2 linked regions of the Rattus norvegicus genome follow. The protein of the gene in region 2 purifies or fractionates together with the protein of the main gene of each other region. This does not show direct contact. Links are inferred from orthologs where the notes say so. Each region holds a gene or a part of one and is shown on either strand. Other genes may lie near its edges.

The links. The genes of interacting proteins can lie anywhere in the genome.
Region 1: the proteins of Magohb (region 2) and Pym1 purify together in Homo sapiens (co-immunoprecipitation; 3 studies listed by BioGRID and IntAct, with this or other methods). This does not show direct contact. The link is inferred for Rattus norvegicus from reciprocal best matches to the Homo sapiens genes MAGOHB and PYM1.

Annotation. Positions count from the first base shown.
Region 1 is NC_086025.1:1,779,701-1,784,294, reverse strand, and holds the end of Pym1 (partner of Y14 and mago), read right to left. Parts: intron 2,292-4,594; coding exon 2,198-2,291; coding exon of another isoform or gene 2,050-2,197; exon of another isoform or gene 1,829-2,049; coding exon 1,348-1,828; 3' UTR 864-1,347; downstream 1-863. UniProt on the Homo sapiens protein: Key regulator of the exon junction complex (EJC), a multiprotein complex that associates immediately upstream of the exon-exon junction on mRNAs and serves as a positional landmark for the intron exon structure of genes and directs post-transcriptional processes in the cytoplasm such as mRNA export, nonsense-mediated mRNA decay (NMD) or translation.
Region 2 is NC_086022.1:166,767,457-166,770,439, forward strand, and holds part of Magohb (protein mago nashi homolog 2), read right to left. Parts: exon of another isoform or gene 2,968-2,983; intron 2,816-2,967; coding exon 2,757-2,815; intron 1,870-2,756; coding exon 1,759-1,869; exon of another isoform or gene 1,748-1,758; intron 1-1,747. UniProt on the Homo sapiens protein: Required for pre-mRNA splicing as component of the spliceosome. Plays a redundant role with MAGOH in the exon junction complex and in the nonsense-mediated decay (NMD) pathway.

The DNA.
Region 1 (4,594 bases), on a different chromosome or scaffold from region 2:
GACAGCTCGTGGGTAAAACACAAGCGAGTTCACACAAGAGGGGTGGGGGCCTCAAGGAGCTTGTCTAGGGAGGTGGACACAGGTGGATCCCTGAGGTTCAGAATCATCAAGCCTTACAAGGTGGATGTCTTCTCCACGTCTGTGTACCATGGGCAAGCACACATGGAGCACACAGACATGGGTGACTTAGCTCATGTTTGAGGGTGACAGTAATGGTAAAGGAAGGATTCTCAAAGATCCAAAAGCTTTAAAAGGCCTGGGAGAGGGTAAGAGTTTAACGGGGTTAATTTTGGTGGCCTCTGAATTCCTGAGAGCTAACCCTGGTTCCCAGTACTCTGTGACAAAGGTGCAGCATGGGTAAGACAAGAGATGAACAGCAGATCTTTTGGATATATCTCAGTAAGTCATTACTTTGCCCTGACACCATCTTGGGCATCATCCAAGGTGAAATTTCAACTGGTTTACAGTTAACTTCAGAAGCAATAAGGAAGGTACAGCAGATGTATTGTTCTGTGGCACAATGACACATACATTAGTGTCAAATTAATCTTGTTCTAAATTTTACTACATTTCAATGCTAACTTCTGTTTACTGAAGTGTAATTTTGCCCTACATTACTTTGTTGAGATAGACCAGGTTGGCCTTGAAATGTTGGCGATCCCGCCTGACTCCAGTCCTACTACAGGTGTGTGCTACCACAGCCAGTTGCATGTATGATGGTGAAGTGTTAAGGGTTAGGATGCAGATTAGTGGCAGGGCTATCATGTGCAAGGCCCTGGGTTCAGTCCCCAGCACCATTAAAACCCTAGTGTCTTCTTCATAGACAGAACAAGAGTTGAGAAGAGAGTCAAAGCCTGAGCCATGCCGTCTAGTTGAATTTATTCTTACTGCCTTTAAAAAAAAAAAAAAAAAAAAAAAGAGGAGGAGGAGGAGGAAGAGGAAGAGGAAGAAGAGGTTCGGGATGGCAGGGAAGTAACTCATAAACACTGAACAGGAACCAAGACTCTAAAACGTGGGTACTCCTTGTACCCTCAGCCTCAGATCTCCGACAGACTCCCACCCTCCTGGGGTTCCTTTTCAACAAGACACCCAGATCAGCAGCAGAGGTACCTGGGGTCAGCACTCAGACTGTGAACAATGGATGGAAGGGAAAAGTTCAAAAATGGGAGCTGAGAAGGGAAAGGGATGAAGGAGAGAGAGCCTCGGCTCTGGAGGACGGAGTCGGGCCAGAGGAGGTGGAAGTGAGCCAGTATGGGGGTGCCCCTCCTGACTGCTGCGGCCCACGCTCCCTGGACCCCAGAGCACCCCATGGTTTGTTCTGCAGTCCACTCCCCTACTCCTGAAGCCTCACAGGCCCAACTCCAAGTCCTCCAGCTCCTCCTCCAGCACCCTCCGCCGTGCCAGCTTCTCCAGCTGCTCTCTGCTAGGCTGGCTGATCTCCCCGGCCTGGATGCGCTGCTGCAGCTCCTCCACCTGTCGCAGCTTCTTCCTCAGGTTCTTGATCTTCTTGGCTTTCTCTGTGGTGGCAGCAGAGTCAGGTGCATCGGAGGCAGCTGGAGGGGTGGCTTGGGGGCCATGGTGAGCACTGGGCATCTGGGCTGAGTCTCCCAGAGACACCTTATCAAGAGTCCTGCTCAAGGCCTCCGCGTCTTTCTCCTGCTGCTGCCTCCTCTTCTCCTTCCGCTTCAGGTTGCGTTTGGCTGTCTTGGAGAGGCCTGCTTCACCACTGTCAGGTCTGGATGGTGTGACCTGTGTGGTGGCCTCAGGGCTCAGCCCTGGGGGAAGTTCCGGTTTACTCTTGAAAAACTTCACATACTTGTTTTCATAGCTGCAAGAAACAGAGATGCTAAAGCTTCCAGGACTAACCCCAGCCTCACTCCTCCCACCTCACCCCTTCCCATTGCACTCCCGTTTTCTCTGCCCTTCAGGGTCCCTGGTCTGTACCAAAGTTCTAGAACTCAAGGCTCTGGCCCTCTGACTGCTGTCTAGAGATCCTGGAGAAGAGAGGTCAAAGGAACAAGACTAGTTGGGGAAACCCCCACTCACCCCTCAATCCCAGCTCCTTCCTCTCCTGAGACCGTTGTCCCTCCTTCCATTTCTTTCAGGCCCAGGCGATTCATCCCTGAACTCCACGGCATAATACGCTATACTTGTGTAGGGACCCACTAAATACCCCTTGTTAAGCCTAACCACGCACACTGGGACCTCCTCTTGGGGCACGTATCCTTCTTTGACCCTCCGTTGCTTGCGCCATGTCCCGTCGGGTCTCTGTGTTGAGGCAATGTACTTGCCTGAAATGACAGAAATTAAGCTGCAGTTAGTCTCTCGTTTCCAAACACCTTCCAAAGTGAGAGAAGTGTGTGTAAATGTGCACAACCCCCAGCACCCATCCTTCCGTCCTAATGAAAGACAAGGCTCAGTATGTCGAACAAGCAGGCCTTGAACTTGCAATTCTCCCACCTCCACTTCCTGCGTGCTGAGGTGAGAGACCACAGCTAAGGCACTTCTCACATCAACTTTCAATCTTCTGCTATTTACTGACTAACTCAGAATCCTTGCCCCCACAGAGTGGCTGCTGCTGCTTCTAAGTAACACATGAGGCAGACCAGGGAGAGCTGGCTTTCTGAGAAAGTACAAGGCAAAGGGAACATCAACAGCAGTAAAGAAACCACACCGTCAGGGGCCAAGGCAAGTACACGGAGAAGAGAAAAGAAGACTGAGCGAAAGATTTTATTCAAAACTTTTAGGAAGATGGATCACAAAGGCATGGGAACACGCGGATGCAAAGGACACTGGTTCATGTTTTTTATTTATGTGCATGTGAGGTGTGTATATCCGTGCATACACGGATACAACAAGGTGCCCAGGAAGACATCAAGAGAACACTCAGAAGTCTACATGGTTGATTTACATGGTGCTGTGTTTGTGCTACAAATGACCTATACCCCGGCCCCATAAACCTTAGGCTCAGTAGGTAAAGGTTCCAGGAGACCTTAGCTCATCCCCAGGACCAACATGGTGAAAGGAGAGAACCGACTCTGGCATCACGGCACATATGCACACACATACACCCAAAAAAAAAAAAAAAAAAAAAAAAAGTACTCAAAATAATTAAATATATTTTTTAAGAGGACCAGAGGCTTCAGCAATTAAAAACACAACCACCCAGCAAAGATATAATACAAACTTTTAAAAGAAGAAAATGGTTAAGACATGATATAACACTTGGAGGTGATAGAAAAAAGTAAATAGAGACATGGTATTGGGGAGAAGAACTCAGGGGACAAAGAGCTTCTTCTTTCTTTGTTTTTGAGGGAGGAGATAGTATTCTGTATAGAGTTGCTGGCATAGAGCACTGAGCCCTCATATACTAGGCAAGGCTCCCAGCGGTACACCAGCTCTTCAGGTGAGTCAGACAGGTGATGTCAGGGAATAACAAGAGCCACAGCCACGCTGGGACTGAAGGAGGAAGCGGTTAAGAGCTTTGGCTGCTTGTTCAGAGGATCTAGAGGTGAGGCAGAAAGATCTGGAAAAGGCTCAGCTTCAGTTACACAGCAATTTCAAATCCAGCCTAGACTACAAGGGACACTGTCTCAATACATACATATATACACACATACATACATAAATACATACACACATATACACACACATACATACATAAAATAAAATAGGTAAGTGAAAAGTGCAAGATGGATTTGAAAGACAAGTTCCGGGGCTGGAGAGATGGCTCAGTGGTTAAGAGCCCCTGACTGCTCTTCCAGAGGTCATGAGTTCAATTCCCAGCAACCACATGGTGGCTCACAACCATCTGTAAAGAGATCCGATGCCCTCTTCTGGTGTGTCTGAAGACAGCTACAGTGTACTTACATATAATAAATAAATAAATCTTAAAAAAAAATTTTTTTTTTTAAAAAAAAAGAAAGACAAGTTCCCTCTGAAACAACGTTCAGATGGGTAGGGGGCTGGAGAGATGACTGAGGGGTTAAGAGCCTCTGTTCTTGCTCCTGCAGAGGACCCACATGGAGGCTTGTAACCATCCGTAGCTCCACTTCCAGAGGATCTGACACCCTCTTCTGACCTCCACAGGCACCAGGCACATACACAGTATACAGACATACATACTCATTCAGAACACATAAAACAAGTGTGCAGAAAAGCAAGACTGTATGTAGTGGTGAGGTTGGTCTGGCTGAGCTGAGCAGTGTACTGGAGCAGGACAGGGGACACGCAGCTGCGGATGCCCGTCCAGGACCTTACCATCGGGCACATGGCATGCGACATAAATATCTGACATGAGTCCTTTACTGAAAAGATTGTCTTAGGACCTCTGGTAAATGAACAAATCTGTCATCCAGTAGTGTTTTAAATCAGTCTAGCATGAGTGATGTGGAAGTATAAGCCCACATAAACCCTTTCCTCCCACTCTGGTCACGGTGTTTCATGACAGCATCAGAAACCCTAAGACACTCGTGCTATGTAGGACTGCACTGAGTGTCGGAGAAGTAAGGGGTCAAATGCTTCACCTCTGGTAGTTAATCCAACCTGCAGCATTTTAACATAAGGGACTCCTTCAAAAGAACAAACCAAAACA
Region 2 (2,983 bases):
GCTTTAGAGTCTGCCATGCATCGGGCCTGACTGCTAGGAGATTACGAGTATTCTCTGCAGTCCCTAAAACACCTTTACAACGTTATAGTCTTTACTAGCCTTCTATCACAAATGTTCAATCCTAAACTCACAAAGCACAGAACACACAAAGATATCAATAACCACAAGTAACACTGGCTCTCCATAGAGTAATGTGGCTACTTAGAGCCTAATCCCCTCTGAAACAGAATGAAAACTAGAACTTACATAACAATGCAACATAATCAATATAATCTAGTTACTCCAGGATGATTATCATCATACAAATTTTATCTGTACTACTTATCCAGAAATCTAAAGCTAGTGAAGGAGCTGCATATTAGTGCATTTTTACACTAAATTATCAACCAGATGCTATTAAAGACAGTCCCAGCTATTTAATCAAAAGGCCTAACTGTGCACTTCATGAGACACAGCCACCTGAGGATTAGCTAAGATTCTCTGCTAATCACAGCAGGCTTGGTTTAACTATCCGGCAGCAGTGTCTGGAGCACGCAGACTACTCCCTCACAGAGAACGCAAAGCTACTACACAGGAATGAGCACTGGCTCTCCCCAGATGAAAACATTTTTATACATACTCAACGTCCTCTGTCTCTGAATTTATTTTTCTAAAATTGATGTTCAGAAATGTTACTAAGGCAGAGATAAATGAAAAATAGCAACATTTTCTCATGTATATTACAAATCTACCCTCTGAAAGAGTATATCGCCTTATTAACACAGACAAATCTGCATATCACATCCTCCCTGTAGAAACAAGTTTAATAGTTTTAAAATGCCCTGCTGTTCTCTGTGGACACAGATGCCCAGTTACTCCTATGCAGTGGCCCTGTAACTCGGGTTCCCGCAGGACACAGACCACCGCCTCTGCTTCCTGATACGACGCTCTGCATGGAGTTCCTGCCACAGAACAGTTCCACCACTGCTCCTTTCAACATGTGCCAGGCTTCTCTACAGATCTTTCTTCTCGTCAAAAAGAGTGCCCGCCATATGTATAGTCCTCAGAACACACAAAAGTGACATTAGATGCTTAGTTCTTTCGACCTTGTATCTCATTTCTCTAAGAGTTGAAAAGTCCCAATTTAGAAACCAAACTGTCTATACAGAGTGAAATTGGGCCTGCCGAGTTCTTTGGGAGCACTTTGGAAACATCGATTATTCTGAGGGGGGTCTAAGAAGCAAACACAATGGTCCACTTGAGCAAAGAAATCCATCGGGTCTCTCTCTGCGGCTCTCAGATATATGAATGTTAAGACAAGAAATTGGAGAAAGTGAACTGCTACATTCAATGAGAATAACCATAACTCTCAAATTTAGCTAGCAATGATGGTGTATACATATTTATAGCAGAAATAACTAATAATAATAGCTAATTTATAATAAATAACTCATAAGTGTCAAAATGTCCAAGCTTGAGCTGTACAAGTTAGAGAAAAGATGTTACTGCCTAACTTTAGAGCTATGTGCTAATACCTTTAGTAAGTGGAGCTAGCAAGGAAAATGGAGCCAAGTAAGGGCTGTGAGGTGTAACTCAGAAGCATTTGCTTGCTGGGAATGTACAAACCTTGACTTCAATCTCCAATACCAAAATTAAAAAGTTTACAGAGAAAGTAAAGTTATATAATCAAAGTTTCAATTAAAAAAAAAAATCCTAAAAACACACTAAGTATATTACCAACTTTGACTCTATCCACTTAAAAACTCACAAGGCACAGACCTGCCGGCCAACCCTGTCAGGAGGCGGCCACAGAGCGTCGTCCTCCTTTGTAATTTCACTGTCGTCAATGATCCTTTTCAGTTCTTCCATTACACTCTTGTGGACATAAGCCTGAAAATCAGTTCAATAAAATCTGTAAATGCCCATCTGTTTGAATGTCCCACAGTTCAGCATGACAAAATAAAAGCAAGTCCTAACTAAATGTCCAAACACAATAGGCGTGAACAACTGAATTTGATCCCAAATCGTCCTTCTCACTACTGCTACTTTTTCTACACCGTGCTCTTTACAACACACTGTGCCGTCTTCCCACTCTAGCTTCTTTGAGGCTCCATATTCTTCTGGGGAAGCAGGGGCACCCAGGCAGCTTACAGTTACTGGGCCAGTATTAGGGCCATAGAGTAAGAGCACAATGCTCTCACACGTGAGCTGGCACTCAAAGGCCAGCCTGACTTCCACGCCTTTCATTTAAAATTTACACTTCATAAAATGAATTAAATGATATGGGGTTATAAGTATTAAGGGTGATTCTTTTGTTAAAAAAAAAAAACACTAAAATGAAAACCACCAAGATGACTTAGTGGGTAAAGGCAGCCGAGGAAAAAGTCCTGTGTTCTATCACTAGAACCCATATAGTAAGAGAAAACCAATTTCTACCAGCTGCATACAAACACAATAAAAAATTTTTTAAAAAAATGCTATAATCATATGTAATTAAAATAAAAACATTTCAATCTATAAATTGGTTTCTTGAAACAGACCTCTGAAATAACTTCAGGATAAATGAACAAGATATAAAAAAATAAACATGTAAACAGAAGTTAGCCAGAGGCAGGTGGATCTCTGAGTTCAAAGTCAGTCTAGTTGGCTTACACTGAGTTCCCCGACAGCCAGGGCTACAAAGTGAGACGCTGTCTCAAAAGAAAGGGAGAGAGAGAGAGAAAGAGAGAGAGAGAGAAAAGAGAGAGAGAGAGAGAGAGAGAGAAAATAGAACTTGCCTCTTTTCTGATCATCACATCATTTTTATAATTGCTGTTGTTGGCATATCTAAGCTTCCCTGTGTGGAGAGAAAGAGAACATCATGAGTAATTTTAAAGGTAAAGATAATTCCATAATCCCACTTTTATTAGTATATCTACTTTCCTCATGCAAGATCAATGCTAAATACTCAATTAAAAGCAGGCTAGTAATTTTTAAAATAATCCATACCTTCAACATAAAATGG